Struthio camelus: one gene and its partner. The protein of the gene in region 2 interacts with the protein of the main gene of each other region in a pairwise test. Links are inferred from orthologs where the notes say so. Each region holds a gene or a part of one and is shown on either strand. Other genes may lie near its edges.

Region 1 (9,525 bases), on a different chromosome or scaffold from region 2:
TTGTGAAGCACGGTATTGTGTAACAGTAGGTGGACGATTATAAAAGATTAAACAGTTAGGATCTGTAGTAGCTAGTTCACTTTAAAGCTCAAATGTTATCCTTCTTTGATAGGAAATCAATTTTAACAACTGATGAAGCCAAATACTTTCCTTTATAAAAACACTGTATGGTCACAAATAATTTTAAGATGTATCAGTGCAATTCAATAAAAAAAAGGTTCCTTTGTAGCAGAAGGCATAAGCACTCATTATTCAACAGATGGCACTTAATGTGTTACTTATTCTAGGTTACAGACACTATCAGAGGATACTACTTCTACACACAAATAGTGATAACATGCAAGGTACTTTCCAGACAAGCTTAAAAGCAAAGTCTTTATTCTCAAAAAATAAAATTCTGAACTGCAGCAGTGTGCAACTTAAAAGAAAATTCTGAGCAATTACTCCTTTGATCTATCATAATTTTTCCAAATTATAGATCTGGAATACTCCCTGAGTAACGGAAAGATAAGAAACTGATGTTCACAAATCACTTTGAGGAAAGGAACTCTGAAGTGCTATCTATAAACCTTTATAGCTCTAACATAGGTGATGTTTTCTTTAGAACACTTTAGCCATAAGAGGTAAGTCATTAAGGTGTACACATGCGTGCAAAGCGTGAGATGTCAGCTGTGATTAGTACTACTGTGTTTAATTAATGACAGAGTTTCAAACTGATCCAGAGTCATTGAATAGAAATGAAGGAGTACTAGATGAATGAGAAGAAAAAGCTTTAAAAGCCTGTAATTTTATTTAGAAAACTCAGTACAAATCAGTATATCCGTGTGAACTTTTGACTTGTTAGGCAAGCAGTTTCAGAATTTTATCACCACAGCAGCAGCCTCCACACAAGAATAATCATAGAAATATACTACAGATCACCTATTGGTGGGACAAGCAACATACTTACAAAAATACATCCTCTGGAAAAGGCCTGATGTTAGAGCTAATTGAAAGTCAGAATTTCAATTCAGAATAAAAAGCGGAAATTTCTGCAGAGGTAAGAAAATTTGAAATAATTCACAAATTTTTCTTACCTACTAAAAAAATAACCCCACAAAAGTACACCCTGAGGATTTCCTCAGCAGTTGATCCTGAAGCCAGAAGCATCAAGACTTTTCCTTTGAGGACTCAGAAGCCTAACCCTGGAGTCCTAAACAGGGCTGGCTTTCACAGTGCTTCCATGTTTGTGACAGTCACAGTTCTGCAACAAGAAGCATGACAGCTTTGGTGTCCCCGGCTCTTACAGTACATTACTGTTAGTCACCCCTTTCCACCTGCACACGTCTTCCTGATTTTGAGTAGATTCCTAGATAACTTTAATTAGCAGGAATATTTGTGAGAATAAGTTTAAATGTTTTTGAAAAATTGGATCTAGATTGGATGTAGCATGGAAGTAGCACACCATAAACAAATATTTATTTGACAGCATGATATAAAGACAGCTTTTCACATAAAGCCAGATGAAACAAAATAAAGTATTCACGGAAAAAAAAAAAAAACCCACAACCCTAGAAAACTAGAAATAGTTATTGAAAAAGATTTCATACATGTACTTTAAAAATAATCAATCCATTTTGTCACTGAAAGAAGTTAATTGTTTTGCTGACAGACAAAAAAGAAAGCAGAGACAGAATTGGAATACAAATTCTTGCATCCTAACTCTGGTTATTCTTCTGGTCCATGCTATCTTTAGCAGGTGAAGTAACAGTAGTTCTTCAATAGACAATTTAAATATTCTGTCATATCTATTTACTGAGCAAAAAAAATAATTTGAAGTGTACATTCATTTGGACTCGCATGCTCCCAGCATGTTAGAGGTAGGTATTTAAAACTAGGTTCTTTACACAGTTTACATAGTTCTTTAATTTTTTTTTTAGATACACAACCATTCCTCAAGCTTTCCCAGGTAGTTGTTCCCCCCCCCCCCCCCCCCCAAAAAAAAGAAAAAAGAAAAAAGATGAAATCTAGCCAGAAAAGGAGAAGCAGTCCTTTGCCAGAGGGCATTTTTGAGCTGCACTTAGTATACTTGTACCTGTACAGCTGCTACATTGTCGGTATGATTGTACTGTACTGCTATTTTCTGTACAGGAAAAACAATGTACTTTTATTTCACTACTTCCATGCTAAGAGTCATATTTTATAACTGTACAGCAGAAAATCAAATTCATCTATTAATAAAACAACGGTTGAAAATTTTGGGGAGCCAGTTTTGGTTCTGTTAAAAAAAAAAACACACACACACATATTTCCACAATTGTCATGATTCCAGGGTAAGAAGATCAGTTTTTATTACACACCTTTGTTATTTAAATATTACTATTATTAATAAATATGCTAAAATGCCATGTAATAAGGTCTACATGATAAGCTTTGCTCCAGTGTCTATATTTGCTGTAGGCATAAACAGTATTTAATGGAGATAAAATATAAAGCTACCCTTCTCAAATTCTTTCAATCTAATGCAACATTTGCAAATTCAGATATCCTGCTCAGGGGTCACAAGTACCAGCACAAAGTACTTACTTTTATTTACATGGCTACCTATAAATAGTGCTTTGTAATATTATTTGCATTTGTGACCCTCAGCTATCTCTAAGACAAAAACGGTCTCTACTCTTCACTGATTAAGGGCAAGGGAAAAGGCAAGGGACTGTGATTTGAGGTCACATATGTCACTGGTACTCTGAAAAATGCAGGGTATATACTTTTCCTGAAAACTCCTCTCTTTGTAGGGAAAAAGAACTAGTATGCAATAGACTGATCTATCAAAATTGTAACACTTTAAGTTAAATGTAAGAACAACATAAGCCCTAAATTATACAACAAAAGTTTTGGTGGGTTATCAGTATCAGTCAACATACACTGGCAGGCATTTTCTGTGTTTTATTCTTGGAAGCAATCCTTCAGCTCCTCGGAGGGCTATATTTCATATTCTATTTAAAAAGTAGGAAGTCTTGAGATGGGAAAGATGCATTACAGCAAAATCTCACTTATACTGCATGGTAGTCTTAGTGATCTAATTTCCACACCAAAACAAACTAAGAAAAAAAAAGCCCTCTCCAAAAACTTCCCCAACTACCACAGATTAGGAAACCCAACCTGTCTTTCAACTTCACAAAAGCTGAAACTGAACATGCCATGAATACTTGATCAGGTCTGAATCACAGGTTTTAGAGAGCTTGTGACTAAAATAGCTCTACAAACTTGTGCTACTCCTGGCACAAAAAGCCTGCCTTTCTCCTACCTTTATCAGAAATCAAGTTGTTTATCACATTCCTTCCTCATTTATCAGTTCCTTGTGATGAAAGCAACTCAGTGATTAATACTTTTTATTACGTTGGTTCCAGTGACTTGAAATGAATTTGCCCTGACTCTTTAAGCATGCTACCACACCCACTGCATGGAACTCAAGCAATTCTAGGAATGCAAGACAGAAAACAAATCTTAGGCTATAGCCCATAAATCTATAGCCATAAAGCCAACTGTATGATGGCTTCAAGCACAACACTTCTTCAGGAGGTGTTTTTTTTTTTTTTTTCCTAAAGAAAAAGGCAAATCAACTGCTTTAGAAAACCTGGAGAAGGCACTGTTCTCTTCTGTCTTGCACTCTTCTCTGCGCTTTCCTACAGCTCATTAAGCAAAGTCGGCTGTAGAAGGCAGAAATGGAAAGTAGTCCAAAATCTTTTCAGTTTTGCTAACTACCTAACTACAAAGTGACAAAATAAGAGGTTTTATCTGTATCTTGCTCACATAGCTGCAATCTACTGTCTTCTGTTTACCACAGCATCATAGATTTTATGTAAATTTAGGGACTGAATTCTCTATATAACATTTTGCCGGTGTAAACACAGAACAGACTGCGTAAAGGACACAGAACAGACTGCGTAAAGGACGTGAAGATGTGAACTTGCCCAGACACTGACTGACAGCAAACTATACTTAACAATTAACAATATCCTCTGTACTAATTAGCGCTTGTCTTGGCTTGAGTGATAGTTGCAATTTCTTTGCCTTTGGCATGACGGCAGTAAGACTGGCTGTCCAAAACAGCACCGACTTGAAAGTGATTAAGCACTGCATGTTCTTAAAAACTACTGATTACCAACTGAGACTTGTGAACTGACTAGACACTCATACCCTGCCTTAACTGCAAAGGGCTGTTTGTCTGCACTCCCTTCACAGCATCCTACATAAAGCCTACATGAGGACGCCTCAAACTGAGTTCTTTTCTACTAGGTTTACAGATTAGGAAGCAATCTGTATTTAGAAGGTATGCTGACATAAGTAGGTTGATCCATGGGCCTTCTTCCTACTAACACATGTAAAATTGTACTAGTAAGGAGTCCTTTTTCTTCAGATTGTAAGGCGTAAACTAATGAGGTTTCTCAGTCCCCCTGCCAGAGTACTGAAGTAGGGGCTTTGAACTGAAGTAACTGCTCTATCTCGGGATTATACCAATATGCAAGGTTACATAAAACAGTCGTTCTGGTTCATATTGCCAGATGCTGAAATATTACTTGCAGTTGAAACAAAAACACGAACTCCAACTTCTCTATGGCACGAATGGACTTTACAGAGGTACCCAGAGGGTAAGAGTTCAAACTTTTGGACTGGTCTAGACATAGTTTAGGTAATCTACAGACAAATAATCTAACAGAGGCGCACTTCGCCTTAAGTGCCCAGAATCCGCCTCGACGCCCGCTGCCCCGCGGGCGCCCTGGCCGGCAGCCGGCGGCGCCGCGACGCTGAGGCGTCTGAGGGGACGGAGGGCCGCGCTCCAGCCGCCGCGGCCCCGCGCTGACACACCAGCGCAAAGGTCGCTCGGCCAGATCCCACACCTGAGAAGGCCTTAGGTCATTAGAGATAGGAGGAAAAAATAAATAAATAACCCCTCCCCACACTTCCTCATACGGACAGCGCCTCACCCTCGCGCGGGCGCCGTGCACGCGTCCTCCATTTTGGAACCCGGACCAAGCGGGCGCAGGTGCGCCACCCCGCTGCCCGGGTGGCGACTGCGCATGCTCGCCAGCGGCAGGTGCGCCGCCCCGCCCTCCCGCCGCCTGCGCCCCGCCCTGCCGCGCAGGCGCCGCGCGCTCTGAGCCGCCCCGCCCCCTGCCTGGCCGCCGGCTCGGCGGCGCGGCAGGTGCCCGCAGCCGCCGTGGCTCCGCCCCCTCCCCCTCCCCTCCCCCCCTCCCCCGGCGGCGCTGTGAGGGCGGCGGCAGGAGGTGGCGGAGCGGCCGCGGGGTGCCGGGGGCGGCTGGCGTCGGGCCCGCGCCGCTCGCCCTTCTGCCTCGCTGCCTTTCCCACCGCCCGCGCGGGGGCTGCGGCGAGAGAGCGGAGCCGGGACAGCGACCCCGCGGCGGCATGAACCGGCCTCACCGCGGCGCCGCGGGCAGCCGGGGCCTCGGCACCATGGAGGTGAAGAGTAAGGTGGGTCCGGCCGCGGCGGCGGCGGAGGGCCGCGTCCGCCGGCGGCGCCGGGGAGAGGGCCCGGCCCGGCCCTGCGGGGCCGCCGTGGAGGAGGGCGGCGGGGCCGCAGAGCTGCTGACTCACCTGCTGGCGGGGGCGACGGCCCGCGGCCGCTCGAGCGCTCCGGGCGGCGGCGGCGGCGTGTCTCTTCCCCCCCCCCCCCCCCCCCCCCGGCAGCCTGCCCGTCCCGGCCGCCCCCCCCCCCGCCCCGGGTCGCTGCCGTGCGGCTCCGGCGGTGGAAGTTTCCTTGTGGCACCGCTCACCGGGTGCGCTGTCTGCGGGGGGGGAAAACTAGTATTTTTATGTGTGTGGGGGGGTGTTTTTAATTTTCATTTAAAAAGCTTGTGGTTTTGGTCCCTTAGTTTCTGCGTTGGTTAAAATACCGTCTAGAGAAGTGGATGGTTTGGGAAAGTTTGGGGGATACCAGGGGACATGTTTTAGAGTCATGATTCATGAACTCCAAAACCTGTTCTTGGTCTAAATGAGGAAAGGAGTGGTTTTGGTTAACTTTAACTATGTGTTTACGTACCTTTCTTAAAGTGGGCTAGAGCTCGCTATATAGCTTGCATTACTTGGTGCAGGTAAGCCACAGCTAACTTATCTTAAACAAACTTGCTTTTCTTTGAAGACTTTCCAAGGTCTTCATAATGGCAATTTTTTAAATGAGCAAATATATCTGTATGTTACCGCTCATAGCAAAAGTTTTTTTTGTTGTCAAAGCTGTGCACAATTCCACCAACCATCTTCTATTGATGTATCCACATCCATTTTTTTTCTACTGTTTCTTCTTAATGCAGATTAGGCATAGTTTTGTTGGAAAAACTTTAAATTTTTGAGAGGCAGTACATTATCTTTTGATTTATATTTCTGATGTTTTGTTGGCTTGTCATTCAGCTGTTATCAATTGTAGGGGTGTTGGATCTGTGGTATTAGTTGGTGTGTCATTAGTTAAATGAACGCATGTAACTTGAGTTAAAAACACTTTCTCTTTGTCTAGGCAGACTGTAAGTGCACCTATACAGAAATGTGTTTTCCTCCATTGGTACAAAACATATCTGTTGTTCAGATTTTATAAGTGGTCTACAGTTTGCTGTTGGAGCGTTAGAGCTGCAGTATGTGCGTAGCAGACAGGACTGAAGTTGTTGTGTGGGCTTTTGTTGTTAAGGATAATGTGACTGTGCTGAAGTTTCTCCTGGAAAACAGCTAGGTTGCATAGGTAATAGTGATTTTTAGGAGAAAAAAAAAAAAGTGGACTTAACCTTTAAGTGGACAAAATCAAAACGCACAGGAATACCTGGTAGCCCTGATTCCAAATGGTAGCGAAGCACAGCTGTGGCTCTGATTGGCGAAATCTCTTTCATTTATGCACTTTTAAGGTTGAGAACAGCCAGAACAATGTGTTTATGAGCAAAGTACTTACTGCCTCAGCGCAGAACTCTAGGCCTGTTGGTTCCTCTGTCATGTATTTTGCTTGATTAAGAATGGGATGAAAGTTTCTAGGAATCAGCTGAGATGCATTCTTTGTTATTTGTGTAGAAAAATGTAGAGGTTCTAATGAATAGGGACTGTCTCTTAAGTGCATATCATAAAGTGAGTTCCAAGGCATTCCTAGAATTACTTGTCACTAATGGATTATTTAAAGTGCATTGATTTAATATACCGTAGACGTCATCTCCCTTTTATGAGAGTAAGAAGAATTCTGAGAGAGGAAGAAGAAAGGAGTGTGTGGGAGGTGAAGTGGAGCGTTACTGTGGAGTGGTCTAGGCTTTGAAGGCTTATCAGCGATGCACAGGTCTTGATTATTGATTTGGAGTATCTCAATAATGCCCCAACTGACAAACTATGCCAACATACCCCAATTGTATTTGCAGTTGTATGAGCAAAATCTTTTTGTTAGTCAATTTTATTCGATTTAGGTAACTGATCTGAACTTGCCTTGGGGAATCTCCATAATATATTTATTCCAGTTAACCCTTTCTCTAATCTTAGACAAGTAAGTTTTATACCCCAACCTAGAGTTTTTGGTGATGGTATGAAAGTCCCAACATAAACTTTTGTTATGGTTTTTGTCTTCTCTCTCTATGTTCTGTTTTAGAATTATGTTCTTTGCAGAATGAAATCTAATATGCTGATAAAAGAGGCCGTGTATGGTTGCTGTAGTTCATGTCCTATTACTATAGCAGTCTGCTGGAGGCTGCTGTCATAGTATGGTGGCAATATGATATGTTATGAGATGAGGCATCTTTGTCCTCTGTAAGAAAATGTATTTTGTTTAAGAAAGACCATAATATATTGAGTAAGCATCTCTAGTAACTTCTTAGTATGTTTACATGGCTTTTGCTGCGTTTTCTCAGATGAGTTACTAGTGAGACATCCTGTGTGTGTAAAGAGCTCAAGTGACAAGTAGCCCTCTCAATTTAGTCTCCCAGTCTCTCCTCTCATTATAACTCCTTCTGAGTTGTTAATGCTAGTGCAGGCTGTTTAATGGCATGGAGTGTAACAATTTATATTAAATGAAAACGTTTCAGTGAGATAAAATAAACTGATGACGGAATTGCATGGTTTTACTTTGTCTCTTTTGTCTGCTTTGTCATAGTATTGAGCATGTTACAAATAGGAATTATGGCCAGATTATTAGTCTCTTGGTATTTGCACCAACTGTTTATAGAATTCTTATTTATCATGTGTTTTATAAAATGCGCGTTTGTGAAAATTGATTCTTTGCCTGCTGCAGCAGCATAGCAGTTGCTCCAAATAGTGTTCTTCTGTTTGTTTGTTTGTTTTTTTTTTAGCACATTACTTAATTGTACTTAAACGGTGTAGTCTTTCAAATCAAAACAATTGAAGTAGATGCAATGAATGGAAAAATCCTGTGGTATTCAAGCTTCAAATGGCTGAAGAAAGACTTAAGAGACAGGATAAGTTCTTACATTGATGTCATAGTTAAGTGTGCTGCTTTTGACCTGAAGGGAGTTCCTCCTGCAGATTTTTTACTTTTGTTACAAGCAGGAATGAATCCTCCCTCCTGCCTTATTGTTAGTTAATGTTACTGTAATTAGAGTATCTATACAAGAGGGATGTTTACAAAGAATTCCCTTATTTAAAAGCTTTGGAGAAAGGTGGAGTGTTGAAGTGCAGAAGGTGTATTTGGGTTGTCTTGTTGTGCTGTATTTGAGTTAGCTCGGTGCTAATGTGCTCACAGTAGGGTCTCCTTATTTTCCTTCCTTTGTATGTCAGAATTCTAAGCCTTTTATTCTCCAAAAGGCTGTAATCAAACAGGAGGAGCTTGGTTTGGAGGCCTGGTAATGTGCTCCTTCACATCTGCCAGTGTAACATACACCCAAGTGTCTGATACTGATGCTCAGACTTTCAGTCAGTGAGTACTGTTGCTGATTGCCTCCTTTATTTTTCTCTTTGGGTAAGAGCAGAAGTGACTTAAGGCTTGGGAGGATGCAAATGCCTCTCTCAAGCTCACTAAAGTTTTACTGCACTTGGTTAGTACTAAAAGCCAGCAGTCATTCTTTGTATTCTTCAGGTCAAAATGGCTTTTTATTTCTGGTCTGAACAACTAGGGATTTGCAAACTACTAAAGAGTCAGGCATATATTACGTGACACTGTAAAGTGCTCTTGAATTTCTTTGAAAAAGTTCCAGGTAGTCACATATTCTGCAAAGTTAAGCATACTCTTGTCATTGAGCAGCCAGCACCAGCGCTGGGTATGAATTCTGTCCCATGCCCAGAGCATGGCCGCTGTATCACAAGCGTGTGAGAATCTACAAAAATTTATACTAGTGTGTGTTACCTTAACATTAAATTCCCATATGAGCGAATGTTTTGACTTGAACTGAACAGTAAAAACAGAACTTGCACGTGTTCTTACAATAGCTAATAACTTTGAAAAATAAACAATTTAAACTGACCTTTTACGCCTTTTCCAAATTATGGGTTGTAGTTTTTAGTGTACTTTCAATTCTGTAACATTTCTGGTGTTACATTCAAATCATCCTATTGTTT
Region 2 (9,178 bases):
AACTGTATCATCAGAAAATATTCACCTGCAAAATGAAACCAGTGTTTCAATGCAAAAAGGGGTGAAAATGTATTTATGGACTTAACTCCTCCCCTTAAAAAAAAAAAAAAAAAGCTGAGCACTCTCCTTCTCTCCTTTGTGCAATGCTATACCCAACAAACAAGGAAAGATAGTGGGCTGAAGAGTTACTTTTTGCTACATTGACTGCACTACACCGAGCACGCAACACAAAAAATAATATAAAGAAAGGCTGAAAGAGCGCATGCATGATTAAGAAATTAACTCCTTGGAAGCACCTATGGAGGTGTGTTTTGATTTTATCATTAACATTGAACTGTTCTTCCCCCTCCTTTCCCTGCTCACTTAAATGTATTAAAATTTTAGAAAAGCAAATTTAACATGTATCAGGAGATTTCTGCCAGTGGTATTTTTCATCTAAAATAAATCAAACTGTAGGTGGGCAAAGCATTGGTAACCTATGCCTTTAGCTATACTAAAAGTCTATCCTGAATTACAGCCTACGTAGTTCAGATAGGTTTAAAACCTATGTCAGTCACTGAAAGGAAGCAAGCTAGCACTTTTAACCATGACAGAAAAGAAGGTTCTTCAAGATTTATCAGCAGCATTAATTCTACAGAATTCATAGTGCACAAGCAGTGCTCTACTTATTCCTATAGCTGCTCTCAACCACTGCACTGCCATCCTCTTCTTACGTAATATTGACAGAATAGCTTTCTTGTACAGAACTGACCAAAATTATCTGCAAACAGACAAACAAATTAGAAGAGCCAGAAAGTAAACTTTGAACAAAAATTAGAACACTGAAATGCTTGTAACTACAGGAGCTGTTCAAGTACAGTATTTGAAACTGCTAAACTTGGTTACTGTATCAACAAAAATCTGAAGTATATGTAAACATTTGGTGTAAGAGAGCAAATTCCTAAGTGCTCACTCAGCAACCTCTATTACATATATCGCACAGAATATGATAATTCCTTCAAAGAGGTTACTTGCAGCATTTTAAACAACTAGTCCTATTAGGAAGGTAAGTGCAACTTACCTGAGAGAAGGAAATGCCAGGTAAATTCAGCTTATGCCCTAACTCCCAGGTCTCTGGGAATTGCCATACCCTTATTCCCATGATCTTTCTTCATTTTAGGAAAATTTTCTTTCCTGGTTTCACATGCTTCATGAATTTAAGATAAAGAATTTCTATTGAACACTAGAAGGAAACAAAGACCGTTCAAAGAGTTCTTCATGAAAGTCTTAACTGCAGCTGAGAAAAGCAATTAGGCTCCTAGCCAGACTAACCTATGTTACAGGGATTCAGAGCCAGCTCTTTGGTCTGAGTTAGTAAGAGTCATGTCTTGAGAACCAGGTGAGTAGCCTGACTGTCAGGTTACAAACTGTTTCAAGAATGGATCTATGCTTCCCAGTTGCTGTTTCGTTGTTGTTTGTTTGTTTTGTTTTGTTTGGACCAGAAATTCCTTCCAGGGGCTGAAAAGACCTTTGCAGTGAGACTTCCACAACTTTTACATCCCGTTTAAATGCTACTGTTGAAACAAATTAAAAGAGAGAGTAACCTTTTCTGATTAATACCATTCCCTGTAAAATCCTCTGTCCAACTCTAATCTCGAGATAGTTTAACAGATAAAAGGGAAAATGCTGCCTTTATATCAGGATTTAGGTCCTTTGTTCCCAAGTGATCTCAGACTAAGTGCAGGTAAAATGTTTTGCTCTGATATCCATTTCTTGACAGTGCTAGTCTGAGAAGTGGGCATAAGACCTTTTGTTTCAGGAAAGTAGAGAGATTAATTTGTTTAGATCTTGAAAGAAATTATGACTAAGGCATTCCAGCTTGTTTGTTTGTATTAACAATAGTTAACCAACTCCCTGCGTGACTCAGTTTCATTATTACATGTGAACTGACAATTACGTTAATAGATAAGAAGTCAGTGAACGAGATTCAAAAGAAACATTTCAGTGTCTGTGAAATTATTACCAAATATTTAAAATGCCATGAGCTAGCACTGCTGTCCAGTGTAGCGGTTTTATTCCTTACTCCCACAGCCCTGAACTGCTTTCTCTCTACTCCCGCACCATAGCCTCCCTGTGCTACAGCAAGCATTCGTGTGATTGCACAGGGAAACGATCAAGATTAAAACTGACCCAGCAGAAGAAAAATAGTTTTAACCCAGAACAGTTCCCACTTTAGTTCATTAGTGTCTAATCAAATGAACAGTTGTGCCAGTTAATAGCCAGAGGCATCTCCACTTCTTTAGGATGGTGGATTGCAATGACAGTAAAACAGCTGAGAATTTCCCATTTTATTACTCTGAAAACATTTCACAGGTATTTTCAAGTCACAGATTGTGCCAATCACTACGGCACTTTTATAGACCTTTGTCAAGAAAAGCCCTAGAACAGAAATAGGTCAGAAATTAATGTATTTACAAATACTAAATGCTCAGTGTGGTCCTTACACCTCTCATTAAAATTATACGGTTAGAGACATCAGATATTCACGTTACTAAATAGTAAATACTACAGATGTAATGACATTTTTCCTTTACTTCAATAGCAGCTTCCTTCCAATTATCAGTGAATGCGTCTCGAATCCAATCTCTATCCAAAAAAATGCAACCTACATTTTTTGTTTAGATCACTTGCCTCCGAACTTCTTGGCCCAAAGATCCACTGTCAAACCTGGCTGACCAACTTTTACATTTAGGTCCTGTAACCGTTATTTTTAACATGAGTTTGTCAATTCCGAGCAGAATACTTTCTCCGGCGTGATATACTGCTGTTGGAGAACCACTGACAGGGTTCAGATTTCCATTGTGCAGACCCCTAGCACTGGTTACAGTGGAAGCACGATTGACAGTGGATGCGTCTTAGTTACCATCCACCAACTCCCTCAGAAGTCAATCAGCCCCTGTGAAGCGCAGCCTGAAAATCAATGACCTAGGTTCTCAGCCAAGTACTACCCTCTTCCTTTGGATCTTGACCCTAAGCATATTTTCTAAGTATGATTTTTTACTCTCAGGAAAACGTTATCGAGTACTATGCTCTTATAACTAACAGCAGGCAAACGATAAGGTGGAATCAGAACGCATGGGAAGCCAAGGTGAGAAGAAGCATAGGGAAGAAGTAGTTATCTGGACACATCCTTATTTATGTTTAGTGGTATCGCAGGAAGACTGATATCTTGAGGCCGCTCAGTCCATATGGGTTCAGTTCATCACCTCTCCCCTGAATGCCTCATCCCACAGGCAGCTCGGTGAAATCTGACACCTTGAGGAGAGGCTCCACTGAGCACAAGCCCTGCCAGTTTCAGCTTAGTTCAGAACATCACTTGAAAGCCATTTTAATGCAGCTGTTTGGCAGCAAGCTTTCCTGTTTCTTTTTTTATCCCCCTTTTCCTCTCCAAGAACCGGGCATCTAGGATTCGACATTTTAACATTATCGGTAAACGCAGCGAAAACGCAATAATTAAAATATCACATTTTCATCACCACCATGGACAGAAACCTCAACCCGGTAAACTATTCCGAGAGATGAGGACGTGTACGCTTTATTGCGGTAACTGCGGGAAAAGCACGAATGTTCTCAAGCCGCTGCTCCCTGGGACCGCAGAGGAGCCTATGCCGTGCAGCCAAAACCATGCATACCAGCGCTATCGCTCCGCTTAGCCCCGAGATAAAGAGTTTCCTTTAAACTTCGAGCCAAGCAGCGAGCGGGGCCGCGCCCCCCCCCCCCCCCCCGCCGCCGCCGCCGCCGCCGCGGCGCCGCGGAGGGAAAGGGCAGCGCGGCGCCGCCGGGCCGAGCCGGGAGCCGCGGCGGAAAGCTGCCCGCGGGCGCGGCCGCCACTCACCCCTTGTAGTAGGCTTTCACGCGGACCTGGTGGGCGCTGTCGCCGCCGAGGCCGCCCCCTCCGCCGGCGGGACCCGAGTGGGACATGGTGCCGTTGCCGCCGCCGTCCCGCTGCGTCGGCATCCCCCCGCGGCGGCAGGCGGGCGGGCGGCGGCCGGGCGACTCCGCGGCTCTCCGCCGCGCCCCGGCCCCGCTCCGCTCTGCGGGGCCTCGCGGGCGGGGGCAGGGAGGAGAAGCCGGCAGCGGAGCCGCGGCTCAGGCCGATCGCCCGCGGCGGGAGAGCCGGGCGCTGCCCGCCCCCCTCATGCTCGTGCTCCGTGGGCTCGTCCCCGCCCCGCGGGGCGGCCCACGCGGCGGCGGCGAGAAGGCGGGGCGGGGTACGGAGAGCCGCGGGGGCCACTCGCCTGCGCCCTGCGCTGGGGCGGGGCGGGGCGGAGGGGGGAGGGACGGCAGCAGCGTCTCCCCGGCCGCTTGGTACGGCCTGGGCGTGCCGCCGCAGGGGCTGCCGGGACTGCCGGCCCCCGCCGCCGCCGCCGCGTCTGCGCCTGCGCGCCGGGCGCCGGCCAGCGGCAAACACGGCGGCGGGGTGCGGCTTACCGGGGGCTGCCGGGCTTTGGGCCGTTTCTTCTCGTATGACTTTGACAGCGGCTTGCTCCACGTTTGGCACAGCTTGACCACAGCCGCGGCTCCGCCTGTAAAAGGAGGAAGAGGAAGAAAACTTGTAATTTCACTTCCTTACCGATAGGGCTTCTCCCTCTTTCAAGGCTTAAGAGAGTCAGAAATACCTGCGGTACTACCCTGGCGCTCCTAAAACGTCGGGAGCTTAATACTGAGCGTAATCTAGAACTAACCTCTGTTTTGTTCTGTTGTAGTAAAAACACTTATTTTTTTCCACTGCTGCCTCCATGCTCCGAACAGCATCGTGCCTGGCTGTTTTGTTTCAGAGCAGCATGAAGTTTAGCTTTTCCAGGTTCACTTACAGGCTCCTATGTAAGATACGCACCTTCTGATCAGCCTGCGTCACAGTTTCTCATCTTGGTGGTAAAGTAACTCAGGCCATATTGGCTATCTTCCTTAAGTACACAGTACAGAAACTTTTTCATGACACCTAACCTGCCCGTAGCATTTGTTTTTTTCCTCAGAAGGTCATTTGCTCCAAGTCTTACATCCTTTTCTTACAACTGGAAATACCCTGCCGTATCTGAACTCATGAACCCCTTGCTCAGCACTTCCAACGTTTCATCATTTTTCTTGCAGCATCTGTGGACTATTCCTGCATGAGTCTTCATTTTCCCTACAACTCTCTTTTTCAACCTATGATAATTCCAGTTTTCTTGTACTGGATCATCTTGTGGTGTCTTTACAGAAACCAGACCTCCTCATCTGACCAGGGATCAGTATCACTACTCATCACTGGCAGTTTACCTGTAGCCAGTCTGACTGCTTCACCCTCTGACAGTCTGAGCTTGTCTATGATGCTTGGGAAAGTGTTTGCGTTTTGTGAGATGCTTGCTGAGGTCCTTTTTCTTTGCCAAGTACGTACTTATCCCAACTGGCAGCTAAACATCTGGCAATTTTTTTTTCTTTTGTGTCCAACTCCCAGTTGGTCAAAACTGTGCTGAGGAAACAGCAATTTAGTTGCAGAAAAACATATTGCTGAGCTCTATTCAGCTATTTGATCCTATTATTGTTCAGTTTTTCATCAAGTTTTTAACTAATTCTCATCTTTGTTCACACCCTTGGTTCTGTGTCAGTACCCACGGATGAAACAATTTCTGCCAAGATTACTAATGAATCAGAAATGAGCGATGGCGCAGTCTTCTATTGTGGTGGGCCCGGGAGTTAAAGAATAGCCTACTGGCATTCCTACCAATTTTGTCAAAGAATAAAATAACTAGATAGCATGAGGAGAAGATTCCTGTTTGTAGAAGCTTCTGGCACTGAAGCATTTCAGTCCACCAGCAGATGACACTCAAGGATTTGGCAGCGTCCTCAAAGCTAGTAAAAAAAAAAAACCCAAAATAAAAAACCGGACCTAGCTGTGGTTCCTTAGCCAGTGTCTGCCAATCCTGCTAGAAAATATCTGGTGGGTTATAACTATGTTGAGCATTTTCCAAACGCTACAATAGAGAATTCTCCCTCTGTTAACTGGGGAGCTGAAATGTTGCTTTTATTTTAAAACCCAGAGGACGGTATACAAAATCTTTTTCCAGAACCAACTTTAGAGAGAATCTTTGTCCCCATCAGCCATAGTCTTTATCCCTAAAGGTAGACCGTTATTGCTCACCACCTCTCAACCTTGATGATCTAAGTACAGTCAGCTGATTTTGGCAGAATCTCACTTCTCTCTCCAAAAAGGGCCATGGAAGAGGGGGCAGAGTCCACTTTGAACTATGAAGACTTTTCCATTACATAGACAGTGTGCCATGTCTTGTCACACAGATCTAAGAGAGCATAAAGGGAACAAAAGCAACATTGTAAACACTGGTATACCCGAAGGCTGTGTGTAACGTTCCTTATGTACTTCTACGATCTGGAAGGCGTTTCTTCATCACAGCAAGACATTTCATGAAGAGGAGAGGGAGAGGTGCTGAATGAGTTTGTCAAGATGTCCCCTGTGAGATTCGAATTAGGCATTACCTGGTGAGGTGACTACTTATCTGTAAGGAGGCTGGGCTTTGCCTCATCTATGCTAGATAACAGGCAGCAACTACTGTCTACAGATGGGAGTTAATGATGTAATTCAGCTCTTATCAATCATGGTCACTTTAGAGGGAGAGATGGTCTTGGGGGGAAAAAAAAATCCCTACAGCAGGGAAAGGCTCTGAGCCAGTGTTTCATAGGAAGGGACTGAAAGCTAGAGGGCTAAAAGACCCTTCGTTTTGTGTTCCTCAGACAAGTCAGAAGTTCACCACCAACGTGGTGCGACTGCTGAAAAGCAGCTGAAGCCCCAGAGCCATCGGCATGGAAAAGCACTGAGGGCAACCACTCTCCGAACCGCAACCTGCCGAAAGCGCTCTCAGAGCGATGCGCGTACCCTCCTTCCTTTTTCTAGTACAGCTGGGGACTCAAACGAGCAAAACCTACTGGTGCCAGCCCCCGGCCGTACCTAGCTCAGCTCTGCCACAGCGAAGCTAAAACGCTCCTGCCCGCTGCGCGGAGAGGCTGCGACGCCCATCGCCACAGCCACCGCGGGCAGGGAGGGAGGCCGGGCCCTTCTGCCCCAGCCGGGCCGCTGCTCCCTGCCTCCGCCTTCCCTCTCCAGCACAGAAGCTACCGAGAGGGGCGCGACGACACGGCCGCAAAGCGGGTCCCTACCACGGCCCGAAAACGTCGCCCGCCGGCAACATGGCGGCGCGCGGGTCACGTGCCCGGCGGCGGCGGCGGCGGCGGCGCCCAGCGCGCCTGCGCAGCGCCTCCCCGTGAGGGAGGTGAGAAGATGGCGGAAGCGGAGTGAGCGGCCCGTCCGAGGCGAGTCTCCCGGCGGGACGCGCGGAGGAGGGGGAAGCGCGGCCAAGGCCGCGGCGGGGCGGGGCGGGGCGCGTAGGCGGGGACCCGCGCCCTGACAGCGCCCCGACCTCAGCCGGCCCCGCGCGGGGAACCGGCCGCCTCTCCGCCTCCCCGCCCGGGGCAGCGCGGCCCGGCGGGGAGCGGCGCTGCGCGGCCCTCGGAGCGGCCCGGCCCGGCCCGCGGCATCGCCCGTGCCCGAGGGCCGGCCCGGCCCGGCCCGGAGCCGCCGGCTGCGGCCGGGTGGCGCCTCGACGCCGCTTCGCCGAGCGGCCGCGTCGTGTGGCGCGGCCGGGGCTGGGGCTGGCGCGGAGCGCGGCTTTGGTTCCCCTTTTCTACCCCAAAAGAAAAGCTAAAGCGAGCCTTGGGCGGTGTTAGCACGTATGGACCTGGCGGGGAGGAAAAGGGGCGGGGGGGGGGGGGTTGGTGCTCTGTCTTCCTCGTGCACGAAAAACCCACCTGGGATTTAGTTTGGGAGAAAAAAGTCTTTTTTTTTTTTTTTTTTTAAATCATGTTCTCTTGCAATTGTAAGGAGCGGCGATGAGTTGAGTGGATATGTACGTGAAAAATGAAGGACTCTGTTTTCGTGTGTCTTGGTTGCTGAAGAGCAACAGTGTTCCTCTTTGCTACCTCACTTACTAAAAATCAAGCTTTCCAAAATACAAAAATGGCTAGTGGCATGAGTATATGCTGTCATTGCAGCTTAAGGCTATTGGTGTGGGATAATTTTTTGACCTTTCTCTGGATATGTGCTTCGACCCAGAACTATTATTTACGTCTCGATATATAAACAAAACAAAACTTCTCACTGTTTGCGTTACGCGTGCTGTAAACTATGCAGTGTCCCATACTGTCACTCCTTTAAATAAATACTTCTTTTCAGAGTAGTTTTTTTGTTCTGTTTTGTTTTTCAATGTCACTTTTGAAAGCGTAGTGGTCGTTTAAAGTTAGAGTTAGTTGCTGCATTTTCTAAAAGTTACTCGAGCGTTGGAGGGGACCTTTTGAGTTAAAGTGAGCCGCTCACAGGCGGTGTCATCACACAAGCCTACTCATGCATTTTTCAAATTTAACTTTGCTACGGGTTAGGCGCTTTGGCTCTTTAATTTTGTAGCGTCCTTGCACAATTTCAGAATCTTGCTTATGTCTCAGCAAGAGCTAGGCATGATTTCTTTATATTTAGAAGTGGTCTCTGCATATACAGGGCTGTGAGGCAGATGAAAGTAATGCTATAAAAGCAGTCTGACTTTAACTCTGTATTTTTTTAACACTTTTGACAGAGATTTATCTGCCAAGTTATTAATGGATTCTTGGTTTTCTTGCTAAAAAAGGCACGTTTTATTTATTTCCCATTATCCTTAAACCAATCCCTGCTCCCTTACAGTGAAGAGAGGTTTCAAACAAGTGTCACTTCAGCCTACAGAGGGCCTGGTGTTTATGCACGTTGGTGCTGAACACTGCAGCTGGACCTCAGGGTGGCCAAGCAAGGATCAAGTATCACCTCTAACTGATACTGGGTCAAACGTGCTAATAGAGGAGGACTGGAGCTGCAGCTCAGTGCCAGGCTGTGCTGAACGAGAGTTCAGGGGCTCGCTCCTGTTTGATTTTCTTCATATAGCCATTGCATGAATAACTTGGACAATAATAAAATTATTTTTGAAAATATGATGAGACACCTTAAGCTAAAGGATTGACTGCGAGCATGGGGCAGTAGTGAACTTTGGTGGAATAGCTGGTAGAGTGGAATGCATTGCACACCTTGCTGATAGTAGATCTTAAATATGTATGTAAGAGCTATGGA

The links.
Region 1: the proteins of PRKCI (region 2) and PARD6B interact in binary tests that used the Homo sapiens proteins (3 or more experiments, as listed by UniProt). The link is inferred for Struthio camelus from reciprocal best matches to the Homo sapiens genes PRKCI and PARD6B.

What each region holds. Positions count from the first base shown.
Region 1 is NC_090959.1:10,319,755-10,329,279, forward strand, and holds the start of PARD6B (partitioning defective 6 homolog beta), read left to right. Parts: upstream 1-5,239; 5' UTR 5,240-5,406; coding exon 5,407-5,472; intron 5,473-9,525. UniProt on the Homo sapiens protein: Adapter protein involved in asymmetrical cell division and cell polarization processes. Probably involved in formation of epithelial tight junctions.
Region 2 is NC_090950.1:27,955,712-27,964,889, forward strand, and holds the start of PRKCI (protein kinase C iota type), read right to left. Parts: upstream 4,282-9,178; 5' UTR 3,997-4,281; coding exon 3,875-3,996; intron 1-3,874.